Sus scrofa: one gene and its partner. Each later gene encodes a partner of the first gene's protein in a complex. Links are inferred from orthologs where the notes say so. Each region holds a gene or a part of one and is shown in the gene's direction. Other genes may lie near its edges. The genes, in order: MALT1 and BCL10.

Evidence for each region.
Region 2: the proteins of MALT1 (region 1) and BCL10 are in contact, whole or in part, in a cryo-EM structure (PDB 6GK2), measured with the Homo sapiens proteins. The link is inferred for Sus scrofa from reciprocal best matches to the Homo sapiens genes MALT1 and BCL10. Residues at the interface, in NP_006776.1 of Homo sapiens: Asp46, Gln47, Ala48, Pro49, Trp54, Arg55, Leu74, Glu75, Ser78, Leu79, Val81, Leu82, Glu83, Pro84, Glu85, Gly86, Pro88; in NP_003912.1 of Homo sapiens: Leu13, Lys17, Val83, Arg87, Asn93, Gln97, Thr100, Leu104, Arg107, Asn108, Leu111.

The regions. Positions count from the first base shown.
Region 1 is NC_010443.5:162,086,583-162,095,980, reverse strand, and holds part of MALT1 (mucosa-associated lymphoid tissue lymphoma translocation protein 1), read left to right. Parts: intron 1-3,430; coding exon 3,431-3,608; intron 3,609-4,402; coding exon 4,403-4,477; intron 4,478-5,063; coding exon 5,064-5,191; intron 5,192-7,679; coding exon 7,680-7,829; intron 7,830-9,398. UniProt on the Homo sapiens protein: Protease that enhances BCL10-induced activation: acts via formation of CBM complexes that channel adaptive and innate immune signaling downstream of CARD domain-containing proteins (CARD9, CARD11 and CARD14) to activate NF-kappa-B and MAP kinase p38 pathways which stimulate expression of genes encoding pro-inflammatory cytokines and chemokines.
Region 2 is NC_010446.5:130,641,156-130,651,116, forward strand, and holds the start of BCL10 (B-cell lymphoma/leukemia 10), read left to right. Parts: upstream 1-4,271; 5' UTR 4,272-4,286; coding exon 4,287-4,343; intron 4,344-9,161; coding exon 9,162-9,450; intron 9,451-9,961. UniProt on the Homo sapiens protein: Plays a key role in both adaptive and innate immune signaling by bridging CARD domain-containing proteins to immune activation.

The DNA.
Region 1 (9,398 bases):
ACACACATTCTCAGTTCTCTAGCATATTTACCTTGGAGTAGAACTGCTGGGTCATATAATTCTGTTTCTTTTCCTTTTTTTTTATTTTTATTTTTATTATTTTTTATTTATTTATTTATTTGTCTTTCTGTCTTTTCTAGGGCCGCACCCACGGCGTAGGGAGGTTCCCAAGCTAGGGGTCGAATCGGAGCTATAGCCACCAGCCTATACCACAGTTCACGTCAACTCCAGATCCTTCACCCACTGCGCAAGGCCAGGGATCGAACCCACAACCTCATGGTTCCTAGTCTGATTCATTAACCACTGAACCATGACGAGAACACCTTTTTTTTTTTTAATAGCCACGCCTGTGGCATCTGGAAGTTCCTAGGCCCGGGACTGAATTGGAGCCACAGCTGTAGCAACACCAGATCCTTTAACCCACTGCACCAGGCTGGGTATTGAACCTGCATCTCCACAGCCACCCAGGCTGCTCCAGTCAGATTCTTAACCCACTGTGCCACAGAGGGAACTCCTTAAGTTTCACTTTTTGAGGAACTGCCTAACTCCAAAGTACCTGCACTATGGCACATTCCTGCCAGAAATAAATAAGGTTTCCAGTTTCTCTACATCCTAGTCAACATCTGTCATTACTTTTTTTTTTTTTTGGTCTTTTTAGGGCCCCATCCATGGCATATGGAGGTTCTCAGACTGAGGGTCAAATTGGAGCTGAAGCTGCTGGCCTATGCCACAGCCATATAAATGCCAGATCCGAGGCGAGTCTGTGACCTACACCACAGCTCATGGCAACACTGGATCCTTAACCAGCAAGGTCAGAGATCAGACCTGCATCCTTATGGATCCTAGTCAGATTCATTTCCCCTGAGCCAGGATGGAAACTCCTGTCATTGCTTTTCTGATTATAGCCCTTCTAGTAAATGCGAAGTGATATCCCATGTTCCCAAATGGTCAGTGATGTTGGGCATCTTGTCATGTGCTTATTTGCCACTTACATATTCTTTTTGAAGAAATATTTATTCAAATTCTTTACTCATTTTTAAATTGGGTTGTCGTTTTATTATTGTAGAGTTCTTTATATATTCTGGATATAAATATGTGTGAATAAGGATATAAATTTGTATAAATAAGGATATAAATATCCTTTGATGGATATATGATTTGTCCTTTTTTAATGTCCTTAGAGACAGATGAATATTTCCTCCCATTCTGTGGGTTGTCTTTTCACTTGATCTTCATTGCTTAGCAAATTGATCCCAGTCCTTTGCCATGATTTTCAAAACGCTTCCTATCTGTGCACTCTGACTTTCATTTACAGTGATGATTCGGTTTCTTGCCGGGATACTTCTTTTCAGCGACCTTTCTGTTCAGGATCATTCCAGGTCCAAGCCTTGCTTGTTTCTGTGCATCCTGACTATAACATCCCTTGCTATTGCTCTGCCTTTCAGGTTGTACCCTTTCTCTTAAGACCACCTGTTATCACTGCACCTCACACTGACATTCCTCTCTGCACTTTATTCATCTCATTCAGTGGTCGTCCTCATCACAAATACGCCGACTTCTCTTTGTTTAACCACTAACATGAGTGGGGATGAATTAGCTGCAAGGTCCTCAGGGCCAGGAACTCTGTCTTTACTTCTTTTTCATTTTCCTCTCTACCTACACGATAATATTCAGGGCTCACCTGAGGGAGAATAAACCCACACTGAATAAATAGGTGTGTCCACTTTTGTTATTTTTGACCTAAAATGGGAACATATCAAAGAATCATTTTTCTCATTTGAATAATAGTTCAAGAAAAGTAGGCCACCTGGATCTTGCCCTCTAGGACCAAAGGAAACAAGTTTTCTTTGCTCTTAAAAGACACCTTGCTAGGGCTTGGGGCTGCAACTATAAAGAATTAGCTTTTTTTTTGGGAGTTCCCGTCGTGGCGCAGTGGTTAACGAATCCGACTAGGAACCATGAGGTTGCGGGTTCGATCCCTGCCCTTGCTCAGTGGGTTAACGATCCGGCGTTGCCGTGAGCTGTGGTGTAGGTTGCAGATGCGGCTCGGATCCCGCGTTGCTGTGCCTCTGGTGTAGGCCGGTGGCTACAGCTCCGATTCAGCCCCTAGCCTGGGAACCTCCATATGCTGCGGGAGCGGCCCAAGAAATAGCAACAACAACAACAACAAAGAGAGACAAAAGACAAAAAAAAAAAAAAAAAGAATTAGCTTTTTTGTTGGTTTCCCCTATCTAAATGCCTTTTTACTGTTTGCTTTAGAATACCACATAAAGAAGGCATCATATCCAGAATATTGAGAGCAAAATTAGTGGGCTCAAGACACTGCATGCTTAGAGGAGTGTGTCTTCATCAAGTGTTCACAAGTATTTCTATCAAGTATTTTTTATGAGGGTCCATATTGATTTTTTTTTTTAACATCCAAAATGAACTTCTTTTCAAGAAGGTGTTCCAAGTGGTTTGGTGCAGTTTGTCTAGTACTATTTCTCAGCAAAGAAATGACTCATCTTTTGAACATTAAAACTAACCCAAATTTTAGATTAATTCAGATTACAGGTGGAAAGTTAATGATATTTATTTATATCATAACAAAAAGAAATAACAAGCCATGAAATGAGATTTCCTTCTCTGCTTTATATTTTTATACCCCTTACTAATATCATAATAAAATATTATGGAACTTCTCACACCTGACATTGCTATGGCTATTCATCTTAATTGTTTATTCCTTCATCCATTAAATACTCACTAAACTCCTGCTGGTACCAGGAATCACAGATAAATGTAGGACTGCCCTGAAGATTTTACAGAGAAGACAAATGTGTCAAAAGTCCTTAGCCTTTTTTGTTTTTAAATATGAGATAAAATTGCATTCCATATTGTACCAGTGGTAACAAATGTATAACTTTTATGAATTGAAATACACTTCAGGATAGCATCTTGATGTTGGTTTAAAATTCAGTACTTAAATGAAGACTTGCCTATTTTGGCAATTTTCAATGCAAATTCAGTTAACATTGAGTATGTTTATAGTTGCATCTCTTGTAAATAAGCTTGCATTTAACTTTAAGAAAATAAAAGTCGGAGTTCCCATCGTGGCGCAGTGGTTAACGAATCCGACTAGGAACCATGAGGTTGTGGGTTCGATCCCTGCCCTTGCTCACTGGGTTAAGGATCTGGCATTGCTGTGAGATGTGGTGTAGGTTGCAGACGCGACTCGGATCCTTTGTTGCTGTGGCTGTGGCGTAAGCCGGTGGCTACAGCTCTGATTAGACCCCTAGCCTGGAAACCTCCATATGCTATGGGAGCGGCCCTGGAAAAGGTGAAAAGACAAAAAAAAGAAAAAAGAAAGAAAGAAAGGAAAGAAAAGTCGTGGTGTTCCTTTCATAGTGCTAGATGTTCAGAGTGCAATTTCTCTTTCTTTGCTTTTCAGGACTGTTATATTATGCGGGACATGGTTATGAAAACTTTGGGAATAGCTTTATGGTCCCTATTGATGCTCCAAATCCATATAGGTCTGAAAATTGTCTATGCGTCCAAAATATATTGAAATTGATGCAAGAAAAAGAAACGGGACTCAATGTGTTCCTGTTGGATATGTGCAGGAAAAGGTAGGCTGTCCAGTCTTTATATAGCGAAGCTGTCTCATGTTAGTTAAATATCAACCCTGACAAGGTAGATCTAAGGCAAACCTGGGCAAGGAACCACTGAAGTTTGTGAATTTTAGATTATAGACTGAAACTGATTAAGAAGAAAGTTAGAGGAAAATGTATTTTTTTTCTGTGTATACCTGCTCTAGAGCAAAAGTGATGGACGAAAGGGCGTGGGTATTTACTCATACGAGAAAAGATGCAGCTCCTCAGAATGCCTTTGGATGTCTCCAATAATCACTGCAGTTGTTCCTCCAGGAATTAGCAGAAACAGCACCCACAGAGTGGGGGCCTCTAGTCACTCTAGTTAGTTAGTCCTGGTCTTGCAGACATAGGAAGTTTAGCTGACCCATATGTTTGACGATTTGGATTCCATTGGTCTGCCGCTGTGTTATGCAGGAATAGAACCAATGATGATTCTACTCATATTTACAGTTTGCTTGTTCAGCTTTTACCAATCAAAACCCAATGCCAAAAAAAAAAAAAAAAAAAAACAAAAAAATCCAATGCCCAAGTTCAAATGTAACTCCACTTCTAAAACTAATAAGAAAAAAGGATTCTCTGCCCTCTCAACAATGTAGGGACCCTGGATTTTTTTCTGGTAAATATACTAACTAGATAAAGGAATTTTGAACGTATAAATTTAAAATTATGTGGAATATAACAGTATCATATATTTTTCATTATTTATGCTCTTTTAAGAATGCTGTTTTAACTTTTCATGTTTACATCTTTCTCTCCTTCCTTTTAAATAGAAATGACTATGATGATACCATTCCAATCTTGGATGCACTAAAAGTCACTGCCAATATTGTGTTTGGATATGCCACGTAAGAAAACGTCATGTTTATGTTGAAGATTCCTTCATTCTTTGATGACTTCTTTGGTGACTGCAGAGTAGAAGCCTGGAAATATCCATAGACGTCTAGGCATTAATTTGTCTCCTTGATATTCCTTTTTTTTTTTTTGTCTTTTCTAGGGCTGCACACATGGCACATGGAGGTTCCCAGGCTAGGGGTCTAATTGGAGCTGCAGCTACTGGCCTACTCCACAGCCACAGCAACACCAGATCTGATCCATGTCTGTGACCTACACACAGCTCACCTCAATGCTGGATCCTCAACCCACTGAGCGTGGCCAGGGATCAAACCCAAAACCCCATGGTTCCTAGTTGGATTTGTTAACCACTGAGCCACAGTGGGAACTCCACATTCTTGATAGAAAATTCTAAACAATTGACCAAGCACTTCATATCTTGGCATCTTCTTACCAAATACCAGAGCATTTGGTTCCTGCTTAAAGATTAACTATTTAGTTAGGATGTCATGCAAGAGGCAGGGGAATAAATGAGGCTCATCAGTATTTGCAGAAGCCACACATAACAAGCATTTGCTTTTTAAATGTCTTTCTTTTCAGGTGTCAAGGAGCAGAAGCTTTTGAAATACAGCATTCTGGATTGGCAAATGGAATCTTCATGAAATTTTTAAAAGACAGATTATTAGAAGAAAAGAAAATTACTGTGTTACTGGATGAAGTTGCAGAAGGTAAAATAAAAACTAAAGGGAAAGCTACTCAGGGTTCTCTGTTGGATAATTATTTTATTCCTGCTATTACTATGTGGGTTTGGAATTAGTTTTTATTTCATAAAACAACTTTTATATAATGTTCACGACATTCCTGTTTCCTTCCTTCCCTATTGGCTTAGTTACATACCATCTGTGTAGAATTACTTCAGCTACAATATGAGGCTGACCCGGGACACAGTTATGAAACAAATGAAGCTTAATCCTCAGAGCTTATTTTCAAAAAAAAGCATCTTTCAGAATCAGAGGAAACTGTACAGAAATTCTGAGGCCCTGTGGGAAAAAGCTGGTTTCTTTTTTCCCTTGATGAACTAGGCAGTTTTAAAATTCTGCTTCACGGACACAATCCTAGAAGCCTAACACCGCATCCTCCAGTTCCTTCCGTTCCATCCTTCTCTGCCTGGTGTAGTTCTGTGCTCATGTCAGGCACTGAATAAGTACATGTTACAGCTGTAGCCTGACGTGTTTTTTTCGTGTCATTTTATAAATCATATCAAAAAGAAGGCAATTCTTTTGCAGCCTGGCTCACTAGAAAATGGAGTTTTATGGCTGTTCCAAAGATGGAGCTTGAGTATATGGTCTCTGAGTGTTTTACGACCCGCTGTTAGTCACTTTTCGTTTATTTTCATGCTTCTGTCAGTGTAGATCCCTTAGCTGGATCACTTGACTTAACCATTTTCCCCCTTGAGGTAGACAGCCAAGGCTTTGTCCTTCCCGTCTTCAAAGAAGTTCTGCTTTTATCTGCTTTACATATTGTGTGGGCTTCTATTTAAGAATCTCATTTGAAGAAAAAGTACTGGTGCTTAACAAAAATATTACAGCCTTTAGAATATGTCAGTTATTTTCAGAGTGAGATGTGAAGGTGCTTCAAAGACTTAAAATGTTTTATTCTAGTCGTAAAAAATGTTTTATTCTAATTCTAGTCTTTTATACTATTTTAAAACTTAAAAACACCAGTTCACCTATATATGGTGTATACTTTGTTGTCATGGAAATGGATGGCATCCCAGTATGTGCTCTGAGTTTATATTTGAACTTCTGGATTTTTCTTTTATTTTATTATATATTTGAGCTTTGGATCTTCTGGGTAACTTAAAAGTATTCAGGAAAAAAGTACCCAAAGGTCATAGGCCATGTGTGCAAGTGAAACAAAAATATGAAATAAATTTGTTGCTGTTCTCAGGCCACAGCTATCAATCTGTGCCCCAGATTTTGACTGTGTATTACTCCAGATAGCAGTATTGTTAAGTTGCTTGAAATTGCAAAAAGAAATTCTTTCCTATGTAGTTCTGGCAGTATGGTACCCAAAAACTATCTTGCTATATATAAAACTCCCAAGACCTACTAGGAAGAAAATATTTAATGATTTAATTGTTTTTAGTGATCAGAGTCCCTTGGAACATACTTCTGATGGTTTTTATTGTCAGTTAGATGTTCAACGTGAATTTCAGACCTTGACAGTAATCTACATCCAATTGTATGTCCCCTCTATTTCCTTGCCCCCCATTACGTGGCAGCCATTCTTCTGAATCTTGTTTATCATTCCATCGATTTGCCTCCTACATAGTTTTATTGAGTTTATATATGTCTGCAAAAAGTATGTACATTTTTATTTTAGTTGTTTTTAACTTAAAAAGATATGTTGAGTTCCTGCTGTGGCACAGCGGCGTCAGGATCTGACTGCAGGAGTTCCCGTTGTGGATAAGCAGGTTAGGGACCTAACCTTGTCTCTGTGAGGATGCAGGTTCAATCCCTGGCCTTGCTCAGTGTGTTAAGGATCTGGCATTACCACAAGCTGCGGCATAGGTTGCAGATGAGGCTTAGATCTGGTGTTGCCATATCTGTGGTGTAAGCTGCAGCTACAATTGTGATTCAGCCCATAGCCCGGGAAATTCCATATGCCTGCTGCAGGTGCAGCCATTAGAAAAGAAGAGAGAGAATCTAACTACAGTGGCTTGGGTCACTGCATAGGTTCAGATTCAATCCCTGGCCCAAGAACTTCCATATTCTGTGGGTGTGGCCATAACATTTAAAAAAAAAAAAAATACTTTCACCAAAAAAAGAAAAAAAGGAGTTCCCTTATGACACAGCAGGTTAAGGATCCAGCACTGTCACTGCAGCGGCTGGGGTCACACTGTGGCACATGTTTGGTCCCTGGCCTGGGAATTTCTACATGCCATAGGTGCAGCTTTATGAATTTCAAAGCTTAGACTATTAGGGATTAATAGAATTAGAAAAGATAAAAGCAAGAAGGGGACCTTTAAAAGAGAACTGGTCCAGTATTTACCATATCCCTAGCCCTTTGAACCATGTCTGGCACATATTAGGTGCTTGGTAAATATCTGTGGACTGAGTAAGTGATGCTGAAAATATAACCTGATTTGGAGGAGTTCTTAGCTTAAATAAAAGGACGTGGTCTTAAAAATAGTATTTACTTCTTACCTTTTAGATATGGGTAAATGTCACCTGACCAAGGGCAAGCAGGCTCTAGAGATTCGAAGCAGCCTATCTGAAAAGAGAGCACTCACTGACCCGATACAGGGGACGGCGCATTCTGCAGAATCCCTGGTGCGGAACCTCCAGTGGGCCAAGGCGCACGGTACAGTGAAGTCTCTTTTTTTGAGCTTTTAATGTAATATGTTTAGATTACATCATGAAGTGTTTTTGCTTCTGAACATACAGCTTTCCTTCTAATTTTGTGATGAAAATTTTAGCCTTTTGAGTAAACCCAAGGCTAAAAAACTCCGTAAAAATAAAGATTTCAATTATAGATACTACACTGGTTTATTTGATGTTGGAAATATAACCCATTTTTACTTTGGATAAAATTAAAATATGATCATTTAAAAATTTTTTAAACAATTTTCTATTTGTCTAATATATAGTCCCTTAGATTCTTCTATATCATGAGCTGCTGAAGTGGAAGTATGTGTGCTATTTCAAAAATCAGACAGGCCCCTCTTTGATAAACATGTTATCTGTAAAATGCAGACAAAAAAATAGTACTTACCTGATAGAGTTGTTGATATTGAATGAAGTCACATGTAAGACACAAGCAGGATGGTCAGCAGATACTGTGTGCTTGTAAGTATTACTGAGCATAACTGACCATTCTGTCTCCTAGACACTTGAATCCATGTGTCAGTGAGCAAAGAGAAAAGTTGCAGGTGATTTCTGCCTCACCTAATTACCTTTGGTAATTCTATGTGATTTAGTGAAAAAAATAAGTTAAAATTATTGATTGAAATAATGGTTTTTGAATTTTCTGTGAATCCCAAATATCTATGCTGTGGTTAATTAAACAGATAACTGAAAATTGCATTTGTTGAACTCCTGTATAATATCTTTCTTTTCATAATAGTCTGTTCTTTAAGATTTTTGGTAAATTAACATATTGAAGCACATTAAAATGTAAAATGCCAGGAGTTGCCATCATGGCTCAGTGGTTAACGAATCCTACTAGGAACCATGAGGTTGTGGGTTCGATCCCTGGCCTTGCTCAGTGGGTTAAGGTTCCAGCGTTACTGTAGCTGTGGTTTTAGGTCGCAGACACGGGTCGGATCCCGAGTTGCTCTGGCTGTGGTGTAGGCCAGCAGCTGTAGCTCCAATTAGACCCCTAGCCTGGGAACCTCCATATGTCACGGGAGCGGCCCCAGAAAAGGCAAAAAGAAAAAAAAAAAAAAAGTAAAAGCCATGAATATATTATCTTGGCACTCCAGATAATTAGATAAGTAATTGAAGTTGATTCTTTTTCTTTATAAGAAATCTCAGTAACAGTAACAAAATCACAGTGGGTAAAGTTCAACAGTAAGTAAAACCTTTTATAAAATGAAATTAAAAGGTCAGGTAAAAAGTATTTATAACAAGTTTGGTAAGCAATCATTTATAATTAAGAGCTCATCCAAAATGGTGAAAACAAAACACACTAAGAACCCCTCTAATAAAAGGATGCAAATTCAATATACACAGTTGAGAATATATTAAGAAAAAATTTAGTAAGTGACGAATAGTAATTAGAAAAGGGAAAATTAAAATTATGATGGTATATTTCTTCCCTTTTTAAATCCTATCAGACAGGACAACACTTTGAAAATTAACATTAACTTGTTTTGGAAATGTGAAACTAGTATATATTTCATATAAATGGAAAATTGTCACATAGGTGAAG
Region 2 (9,961 bases), on another chromosome or scaffold:
CAGCAGAAACGAATCCAACTAGTATCCATGAGGAAGCAGGTTCAATCCCTGGCTGCTCAGTGGATTAGGCACCTGGAGTTGCAGTGAACTGTGGTTGTAGGCTTCAGACTCCGCACATGGTATACCCAGGGAACTAAGCACCTGCTGTGCATTCAGTCAGTCTGAGCTAAGATGTTGCTATTTCCCAACAAACCGCCTTTACTTCTCTTCCCTTCCCGTACTTAAGCTTCTTTTCCAGGGTGCATGAGAAACTTGGGGTGCAGAGCAATTGGGAAACTTGCCTGAACTTGAAAAGTGAGTGATAAAGGAATGATTCAAACCCAAGTGAAGGAAGGCTGAAAACCGGAGAATGAGATGTGAGTCAGAAGCCACGGAGACCGGAGACCGGAGACCGAGGTCAGGAGGGAGGGTGCTGGCGCTGAGTCCTCCTGGAGCTGCGTCTGCTGTGTTACACACAGAATTCTCACCTGCAACGTAAGGATAATAAAGTCTACCTGGAAGGACTGTTGCAGAGATTAAATTGTAACAGCAGGAGTTTCCACTGTGGCTCAACAGGATCTGTGGCATCACTGCAGCACTAGGACGGAGGTTTGATCCCGGGCCCAGGTTAAAGGACATGGCGTGTGGAAGCTACAGTGTGACTCAAATCTGAACCATGGCCCTGGGAAATCCATGTGCCACGGGGTGGCCAAATGAGGAAAAAAAAAAAAAAAAAAACTGTAACAGCAAAGGTAAGTGTACTTGGCTCAGAATGGGTGGGAAATAAATTGTCTGTGATCGTTTCTTCCCAGGCAATTGCATGGCTGTGGGATCCAGCCCCTCCCTCAAGGTCCCCCTGCTCGTACATGGGACATCGCCTCCCTCCACCAGATCCAAGTTACGTTGTCCCATGGCCCTAGGCCTCTGACACCAAAGGCCTGCCCTTCCTCTGCACACCAACCAGTCTCCTGGGGGAGGCCAGAGGGAACGACGCCTCCCCCAGCTCCCTCATCAATGTCTCAGTCTTGGGGTGCACCTGCCACTGTCCTCAGGGAGTTTGCTCAGGCCCCGCCCACCTCTCCACACCCTCCTCGCCCTTCCTTCCTATAGGCTGGGAGCCGCTAGGGGGGCAGCCCCACCTGGAGTGTCCCCAAATCCCTGAGCTAAAATGTCTAAGCTCCCCAGGCATCATCTCACCAATAAAACCCAGGAGTATCTGGCTCAGAAAGGCCACTTTTTCCCTCAAACTACTTATGGGAAATTTATAGCTCACATCACTTGAAATAGCATGCATTGCTCACCACAGCACCTGGTATCTGGCAGGAAGTGTTAGAATAAATCATTCAGCAGCAGTTGAAGCTCCGCCTACTGAAGCCCTCGGCCCAGTTTGAATACACCCTCTCACGTTGTCTTATCCATCAGAAATGGTTTCCTCCTCCCACCTCTGCATCCCTGTAACAGCTGTCTTTACCGCAGGCGTATCAGTTGTCCCCAGGTCGTGCAGCGAATCATCGGCAAATCTTGAATTCAAGTATTGAGTTGAACAGCGTCTCTTCAAATGTCTGCTGGAACCTCAGAATGGGAGCTTATTTGAAAATATTGTCTTTGCAGATGTAACCAACATCCTACTGGATTTGAGGGGGCCCTAAATCCAATGATTCGCGTCCTTATTAGAGGAAGGACATTTGGAGCTTGAGGCAGAGGAAGAAAACAGGCAGACTGGAGTTATGTGGCCACAGCCACGGGGCGCCAAGGATCGCCAGCGACCACGAGGCTCGAGGAAGAGAAGGAGCAGGCCTCCCTGAGGCCTTCGGAGGGAGCAGGGCTCTGCCCGTTTGGACTTCGAGCCTCTAGAGCCGCGAGCGAAGACGTTTCTGCGGCTTACACACCCTGTTCGCAGCACCTCATCACAGCGGCCCTAGGAAACCACCACACTAGGCTGGGCTGGTCAGATGCCAAGATCCTCATTTGCTGCTGAGAACTCGTGCAAAGGAAATGATAAATTAAAAGAGAAATGGCCATGGAAAACACAGAGGAATACTCGAGGGGAAAGCTTGTTAATCATAATGCAAAACTGGGGCTAACTTGACGTCTCCTTGGGGAAGCGCTCAGGGCGCCCAGCCTGGTCCCAGCGCCGCCCGCTTGGCCGGAGCCGCCGTGGGAGCTCCCGGCTGGTCTCTGCTTCCACACTTACACCTGCAGTCTGCTCTCTGCCCAGCAGCCAGCGTGATTCTTTGAAAAGGAAATGAAATCACTCCCTCTTCCCCCCCCCACCTCCCGTCTCTTCAAAATGGTCTCCCCACCCTCACTGCCAGCAACCCTGTTCTGAGCCACCACCTCCTGGGGACAAAGGCAGTAGCTCCTTGAGGGTCCCCCGTTCCCCTCTTCCTTTCCCTCAAGGCAACAGTGAAAGCGCGCCTTTTTCCAATCATAAATCGGATCGCGCCACTCCTCTGCTCGGCGTCCTCCAGTGGCTTCTTGTCTGACTCAGAGGCTGTCCTGTGACTCAGAGCAGAGATGAAGCACAGCTGCCCTGGACTTGGCCTCCCGTCCCCCTGCTTTTTTCCCCTGGCTGCTCCCTCTGCTTGTCCACATGGCTCTTTCCTTCAGCCCCTTCAAGTGCGACCCAAATCCCCTTCTCAACAGGTCTTCACTCACCATGCCATACCCCCTCAACCTGCTGCCCCGTTTTATATTTTCTGCGTATTTATCATCTTCTAACGTAATAAATAATTTACATAACATTTTTCAAATGTCTGTCTGCCCTGCCCCAAACACACACACACACACACACACACACACACACACACACACGAATTTAAACTCCAGGAGGAAAGGAATTTTTAACTATTTCGTTCATAGCTATTTCCCCAGCACCTAGAACAGTGTCTGGCCCATAGTTGACATTCAACAAATATTTGTGAATGAAAGAACAACTAGTTAAGTGAATTGGGTTAGAAAAAGATGACGGAAGATTAAGCAATCAGAAAAAATACTGTGTATGAATATGGACAAACACACATGATGTAATGTTAAAAGTAAGATCCCTGCCCTGTGATGGAAAAATACATTGATGCGGCCTTGACAACATTGTTGTTTTCTGGTTCTTGTTTTCCCTTCCTTTAAAGGATTCTGGATCCTCAAATTTGTCTTCCGCCCCCTGGTCCGCATTTTTATCTACCCTCTAGCTTCCAAATACCATATACTTTCTTTCTAGTTTATTTACCATGTTGTCCAAACAATCGTCTTGGGCCCTGAGCCCTTTCCGGACTTATCACCCTCGTTACTTTGGATGCACCGTTCTGAGAATCGTATCTGTTCATCAGTCTCCCCCAGAAAGATGGGAGAACTCTTACGGGACTGGGTGTCTAGAATATAGTAGGAAGGACTCAATAAATGTTTGAGCAAGAGCTGAGCACGGACTGTGGGCCCAGACCTCTAAGAACCTCACATCTGTCACGTCATTGAATTGTCACCTGTGAGAGGTAGAAGAGACACATCTTCATCCCTCAGATGAAGAAATAAGGAAATACGTTTATCATAAACAGTGACCAGAAAGTATGCAGAGGTTAAATGAGGTGTTAAAGTGATGGCATTGTAGGCGGTTTTTCTCTTTCAGAAATTCCTTCAATATGAACTGCAGTTAGGCTGTATATGAGTCTCGTGTGCGCGCGCGCGAGCGTCTGTGTGTGACCAAACCATTGTAAAACTTGCGTGGGCAAACAGCAACAGGAAATCGGTGGGCAGGGGCTGGGAGAAGGGGAGGAACACAGCAGCACCGACCAGCAGAGCTCCAGCTGCATCAGAGCCGCCCGCGCGGGCGGCGACCGCCCACAGACCGAGCCGCGCCGGCCCCGCCCACGGAAACGATCCTCTCGGGAGGCCTCCCCCCGCCCCATGCAAACGACCTGGAGGCCGTGGGCGGGGCCACCCTGGAAGGGCTCCGGCCGGGGGCGGGACCAGGCCGGCCGCGGGCTGGCTCCGATTGGCTCTCGGAGAGACGGGACGGGCTCTCCGAGGGCCGGCCTCCCAGAGGGGCGGTCCTGCGCCCCGGCCTCCGCGAGCGCGCAGGAGCCGAGCCCGGAGCTCGGCGTCTAGACGCGTAGGTCTGCGCCGCCGTCGGCCCGGAGGCAGAGCCGGAAGCGCTTGTTTGACCCTCGGTCCCCCTGTTTTCGAGGAGGTAGCCGTCCCCCCACCCTCTCCGCCTCCCCTCCCCACCCCTCCTCGGGAGGCCGAAGCCCCCAGCCTGGGCGGGGCGGCGCAGCCCGAGCGCGGACCCGGAAGGAGCGCCGTCCCCCGCCTCCGCCATGGAGCCCGCCGCGCCGTCCCTGACCGAGGAGGACCTGACCGAAGTGAAGAAGGACGTGAGTAGCACGGCCGGGCCCGGGCGGGCGGGCGGGGCGGGCTGCGTGCCTGCGGGCGACGGGAGCGGAAACCCGGCGGCCCGGCCCGGCCCGGCCCGCAGCTGGGGAGCAGCGCGCGGTGGGAGAAGCGGCAGGTCCGGGCGCCGCGGGAGCCGAGCCGGCATCGCGGGGACCTGGTGGAAGCGGTCCGACCCCTGGTGACCTGTGAACTCGCGTGTTAAATCAATCAAAGCGGGGCTTGGGTTTCTGGAACCTTGTTGGGTGGAGCGCTCCTTCACAGCCTCCGGCCCACTCCCCACCCATCCTCTGGCGCTTCCAGGGGTGGAGCTACGTTGTCGGAAGTCGGCGACTCAAGCTCGTCCTTGAGTCTGAGCCTTGGCTGCTGGCTCTCTCAGCCTGGAGCAAAAGCTGGACCAGGTAAAGCATCCCAAGCAGTGGAGCAAATATGTGAAACTTTGGCAGCGGGGGTTGAGGGAAGCTCAGCAGCTGAAAGCACGAGTCGGAATTCCCCTAGAAAGCAAACGCCCACGTATTTAAATCGGAGGGGCGAGGGGGAGGGGACGGGGGCCGGGGCCCGAAGGCCGAGAATTTATTTACAGGTGAACGCTGGAAACATTCGGTAGCTGCGTTATGCTCCGCTGCTTGGATGCTGCAGAAATGTACAAATCTTAATATTTATTCACCAAGAGTGACTTGTTTCTCTTACCCTTTGCTCTTAGTTGTTTGTTTTGCTTTGTGAGACTTGTATGAGTACCATTAAAATACTTTGTATTAATTCACATTTTAAAAATCAACATGAACTGTGTTCTCGCTTAGCGCCGCAGTGCTGTACAAAACCACCTTTGTGAAGTGGACAGGAAGCAGCTTTTTAAATGTTCCTGTGCTTCCTTTTCCCTCACCTGTGAGGTTTATCACACTGTACCCATAATGCAGAGTCGGTGTGACTCATTAGCAGAAGGACTCTGGTTAAGAGTAGGGCTTGTGCCTTAATTTCCTCCTTCAGCAGATAATTCTGGGGCGCTCACTAGATGGAAAGCACTGTTCCTCGGCCTGGAAAGATACCCAAAAATGACAGGTCCCTGCTTCCCATTCCCGTCAGAACTCGGATGTTGGTAACTACTAAAGAATGAGTGTTGTGCTGTTCAGGATTTGTGCCAGTAAAAGCATGAACTTCAGGAGGCAGGTGCTGCATCGCACGGTTTACAGTGTTCTAGCGTCATCTGTACACCAGCCTCTGAGGGGGATCGCTGTCTTTTCCATTTTACAGTTGACAAAACAGGTAGTGAGAGGTTGCAAGTGGGAGGTTCCAAAACCCGCACACAAACACAGATGTGAAGGGTGACTGCCAGGCCTGTATTTTTTGCCGTCAGCTCATTGACATTCTCCATCTCCAAGATTTCAGTGCACAGCCAGCTCTGAAATTCATAACCTTGGGGAATCATGCACCGGTTTCAGGACAGCTGTGAAAAAAATAGAGCTGCTCATTTTTTTCTTAGAACATTTTTTCACGTGATGGAAATGGTTTATGACCTTAGAAGGTTTAAAATTATCATACATATATTTGGCCTGCCTTCTTTCCCAAATCTAAGTGCTTATTTCCAAATAGTTGCGGGAAATCCAGTTTGATATCCTTCAGATTCCTCACCTTGTCTAAGGTTGATCATTTTATCATCCCTCCCTCAAAGCTGCTTGTTGTTTCTGCTGTTTTCTCTCTTGAAGAATATACAATCATCCCTCTGTAACTATGGAGGACTGGCCGCTGATACTAAAATCCATGGATGGAGTTCCCGTCATGGCTCAGCGGTAACACACCTGACTAGTATCCATGAGGACGCAGGTTCCATCCCTTTCCTCACTCAGTGGATTAAGGATCCGGCGTTGCCGTGAGGTGTGGTGCAGGTTGCAGATGAGACTCGGATTTGGTGTTGCCGTGGTGTAGGCCAGGAGCTACAGTGCAGATTTGACCCTAGCCTGGGAACTTCCATACGCCTCAGGTGATACCCTAAAAAGGCAAAAAAAAAATCCCGTGGATGGGCAAGTCCCTGGTAAGCGCTGTCCAGTTAGTCCTCCCAGGGATCGTGCCGTGTATTTATTGGTGATGACCAGTGGGGAATCTGAAGCTAGAGAGGCTGAGGAGCTTGCCCAGCTCCCACAGGAGATCGTGGCAGATGCAGGATTTGCACTGAGGTGGGCCTGGGTCCAGAGCCGTGCTCTTAACTTCTCCACTATTCTGCCATGTGAGAAACTTTATCCTTTAAGTTGCGGTGGAACACAGTGTTTCACATTTTTTAAAAATTAACAGCATTTCAATCTTAGTAGAATTCATCTCACACTCCAGATTTCCATTTTTTTTTCTTGAGCAATGAGACGTCTGATGATGTGTGGGGAGGAATTTGAGGGCTGTGGGGAGAGAAGGAAGAGGTACAGCGAGGTGTCTTGTTAGCAGTCCAGGCAGAGTACAGGGGACCAGAACTAGGACGGTGCTAGGGCTCGGGAGGGAGAGGGGGCAGATGAGAGAAGTGTCGAGGGCGGACTGGTGGGACTTGGAGGAAGGGTGATCCAGTGTGGCAAGCGAGTGAAAGGGGAAAAGCCCAGGACGAGTTGTCGGGGTGTATCGCGCGTCTGGACGGATGGCGGCCCTCCCAGGGGAGCCGAGAGCGTCCGAGGAAAAGGATGGGGACGCAGATGCGGCTTGGGGCGTGTTGAGTTTGAAGTACTGCCGGCATCTCTAGGTGGAGAGAGTCTTGATCATAGGCATTTTCAGGAGTCATCCACGCACAGGGGTTGGAAATTGCAGCAGTTGAGCTTTTCCAAGGAGACGGTCTTTTTAAGTCTGTGTTTCTCATTTGTTATCCCCACAGCTTAAATTCTCGCACTCAGCACATCCTGGGTAAGAGAGTTCAGCAGTCTTCTCATGTCTCCTTTGACCCGTTTTTGTTTCTCCCAATCGTCTGTAAAAGTCTTCTTTTCGCCTCTTATTTATAAACCTTTGATGAGGTCCCCCCGCCACTGCATTCCTTTTATGCTTCTAGCTCAGGCTTAGCCTCGATCAATTTCCCAGGTCCTGGAGGCAGAGTCAGTTGCCTGCTCTCTGCATCCCCAGTACTTGACCTGTAACTTTTTTCCAAGTTGTATCTCATTGTCTCCTGATCATTAGCTTGAGTTGATCATGTATTCTTCAGCTAGACCATGTGTCCTTTGAATGCAGGATTCAAGTCTTGTGCGTCTTTGCATGTCTTCGGCTCAGCATGTGGCATATTAGGCATTTAGATATGTGAAGTGTTTGTTGTGTGAATAAATAAATGAATACGGGAGTTGAGTGAACTGAGAACCAGGGGAGCCTTCACCTGATCTGCTTTTCTGCCACTGTGTTCTAGAGTACTTCAGAGAGTTTCCATTGCCTTTAGCTCATCATTGTCAGTGTGAGTCAAATTAGTCGTCATCGTCCTCATCACTAGCATTTATTCATCACTTACTATGTACCAGGCACTTTTCCAAGTACTCTGCATGTGTTAACTTATTCCTCATAACCCTCAGCTGAGGACACTGAGGCACAGAGGAGTTAAGGTCCTCACCCAAGATCCCATATCTTGTACATGGAGGAGCTGCAATATAGTCGCTCACATTGAATTATTAATGCCATTTAGGAGTTGCCTGGTGGTTCAGTGGGGTAAAGATCCGCTGTTATCACTGCTGTGGTGCAAGTTCAATCTCTGGCCTGGGAACTTTTTTTTTTTTGTCTCTTGTATTTTGAGGGCTGCACCTGTGGCATATGGAGGTTCCCAGGCTAGGGGTCTAATCGGAGCTGCAGCTGCCAGCCTGCACCACAGCAACACGGGATCTGAGCTGCGTCTGCAACCTACACCACAGCTCACGGCACCACCAGATCCTTAACCCACTGAGTGAGGCCAGGGATTGAACCCTCAACTCATGGATCCTAGTTGGATTCGTTAATCACTGAACCACGACAGGATCTTCTGGCCTGAGAACTTTTACGTGCCACAGAGGTGACCAAAAAAAAATTATTGGGACCTATTTTGATTTTCGGCTAATTAAGCCTCCTTAGGCACTTCTCTGGTGTAGACCTATTTATGTGTATTTTTCCAAAATCCACTCGTTTCTGTATTTCTTTAGTTTTTTCCAATATCCGCTATTCCTTTAGGTTCCTCCCTGTGCATGCACACGCACGCGCACACACACACACACACACACACACGCACACACACCCATTCTTCCCCCCTTCTACCAAGACTGAGTTTGATTATAGTCTTTCCAACTAACTCCACAGAGAGATACATTATGGGCCCTTTTAATTTAGGTCCTTTCTTGCTTTCTTGATTCCTTTCATGGTTTTACTCTAGGAAGGTAGAAAATTAATAACGTGAGAAAGTTAGAGACGTGACTCCTCTCGCTCAGTTACCTCTGTGGTCTTGACCAATCCAGAGGCCTTGCTGAGTGGTAGCTACCCGGTCCAGTGACCTCTCCCCTCGTCTGCTCCTGAAGGCCCTGGGCACGCCTCCCTCTGTCCGCAGACTCAAGCCCCCGCTTAGACCTGCCCGTCCTCGCAGTAGTTTCCTCCTGGCTTGTAGGTGGGAAGCTGAGACCAGAGCAGGACACATCAGTGACGAATATCTTGGCTGGGACCTGATTCTGTCTCCCTGGACCTTCATCTGATAGTAAAGCCCTCTCGGAGGCCTGAGCATCCTGCCTTCAGGATGCTCTCTCACCAGTTCAGATTCCTGACTGGTAATCAATCACCTATGCGATTTCCTTATGTGTTAAAAAAAAATGCATTGAGGTGTATTTTATGTCTTTCAGGCTTTAGAAAATTTGCGTGTGTACCTGTGTGAAAAAATCATAGCTGAGAGACATTTTGATCATTTACGTGCAAAAAAAATACTCAGTAGAGAAGACACCGAAGAAATTTCCTGCCGAACATCAAGTAGAAAAAGGGCTGGAAAATTGTTAGACTACTTACAAGAAAACCCCAAAGGACTGGATACCCTGGTCGAATCTATTCGGCGAGAAAAAACACAGAACTTTCTGATACAGAAGATTACAGATGAAGTACTGAAACTTAGAAATATAAAACTAGAACACCTGAAAGGTAAGGTATCTCAGAGATCCAGGAGATCACTTAAATGCAGCCACGCTTTTGATTTTTTTTTTTTTTTTTTGTCTTTTCTCCTTTTAGGGCTGCACCCACAGCATGTGGAGGTTCCCAGGCCAGGGGTCTAATCAGAGCTACAGCTGCCAGTCTACACCATAGCCACAGCAACGCCAGATCCGAGCCATGTCTGCGACCTACACCACAGCTCACGGCAACGCCGGATCCTTAACCCACGGAGCAAGGCCAGGGATTGAACCCGCAACCTCATGGTTCCTGGTCGGATTCGTTTCCACTGCACCACGATAGGAACTCCAGCAACGCTTTTGAAAGTAGAAGGCAAAACAAGATAAAAAGCCCAAAAATGATGATTTTGCTTTTATTCAAACAATTGAAGCTTCAGCGTTACATTTGATTTGCACGTTTTTGCCTTATTTGATGTCATTACATTGCAAAAGTGGAATATCACTCAGTGTTCTGTGTTTATGTCCCTTTAACAATATCGTTTAGA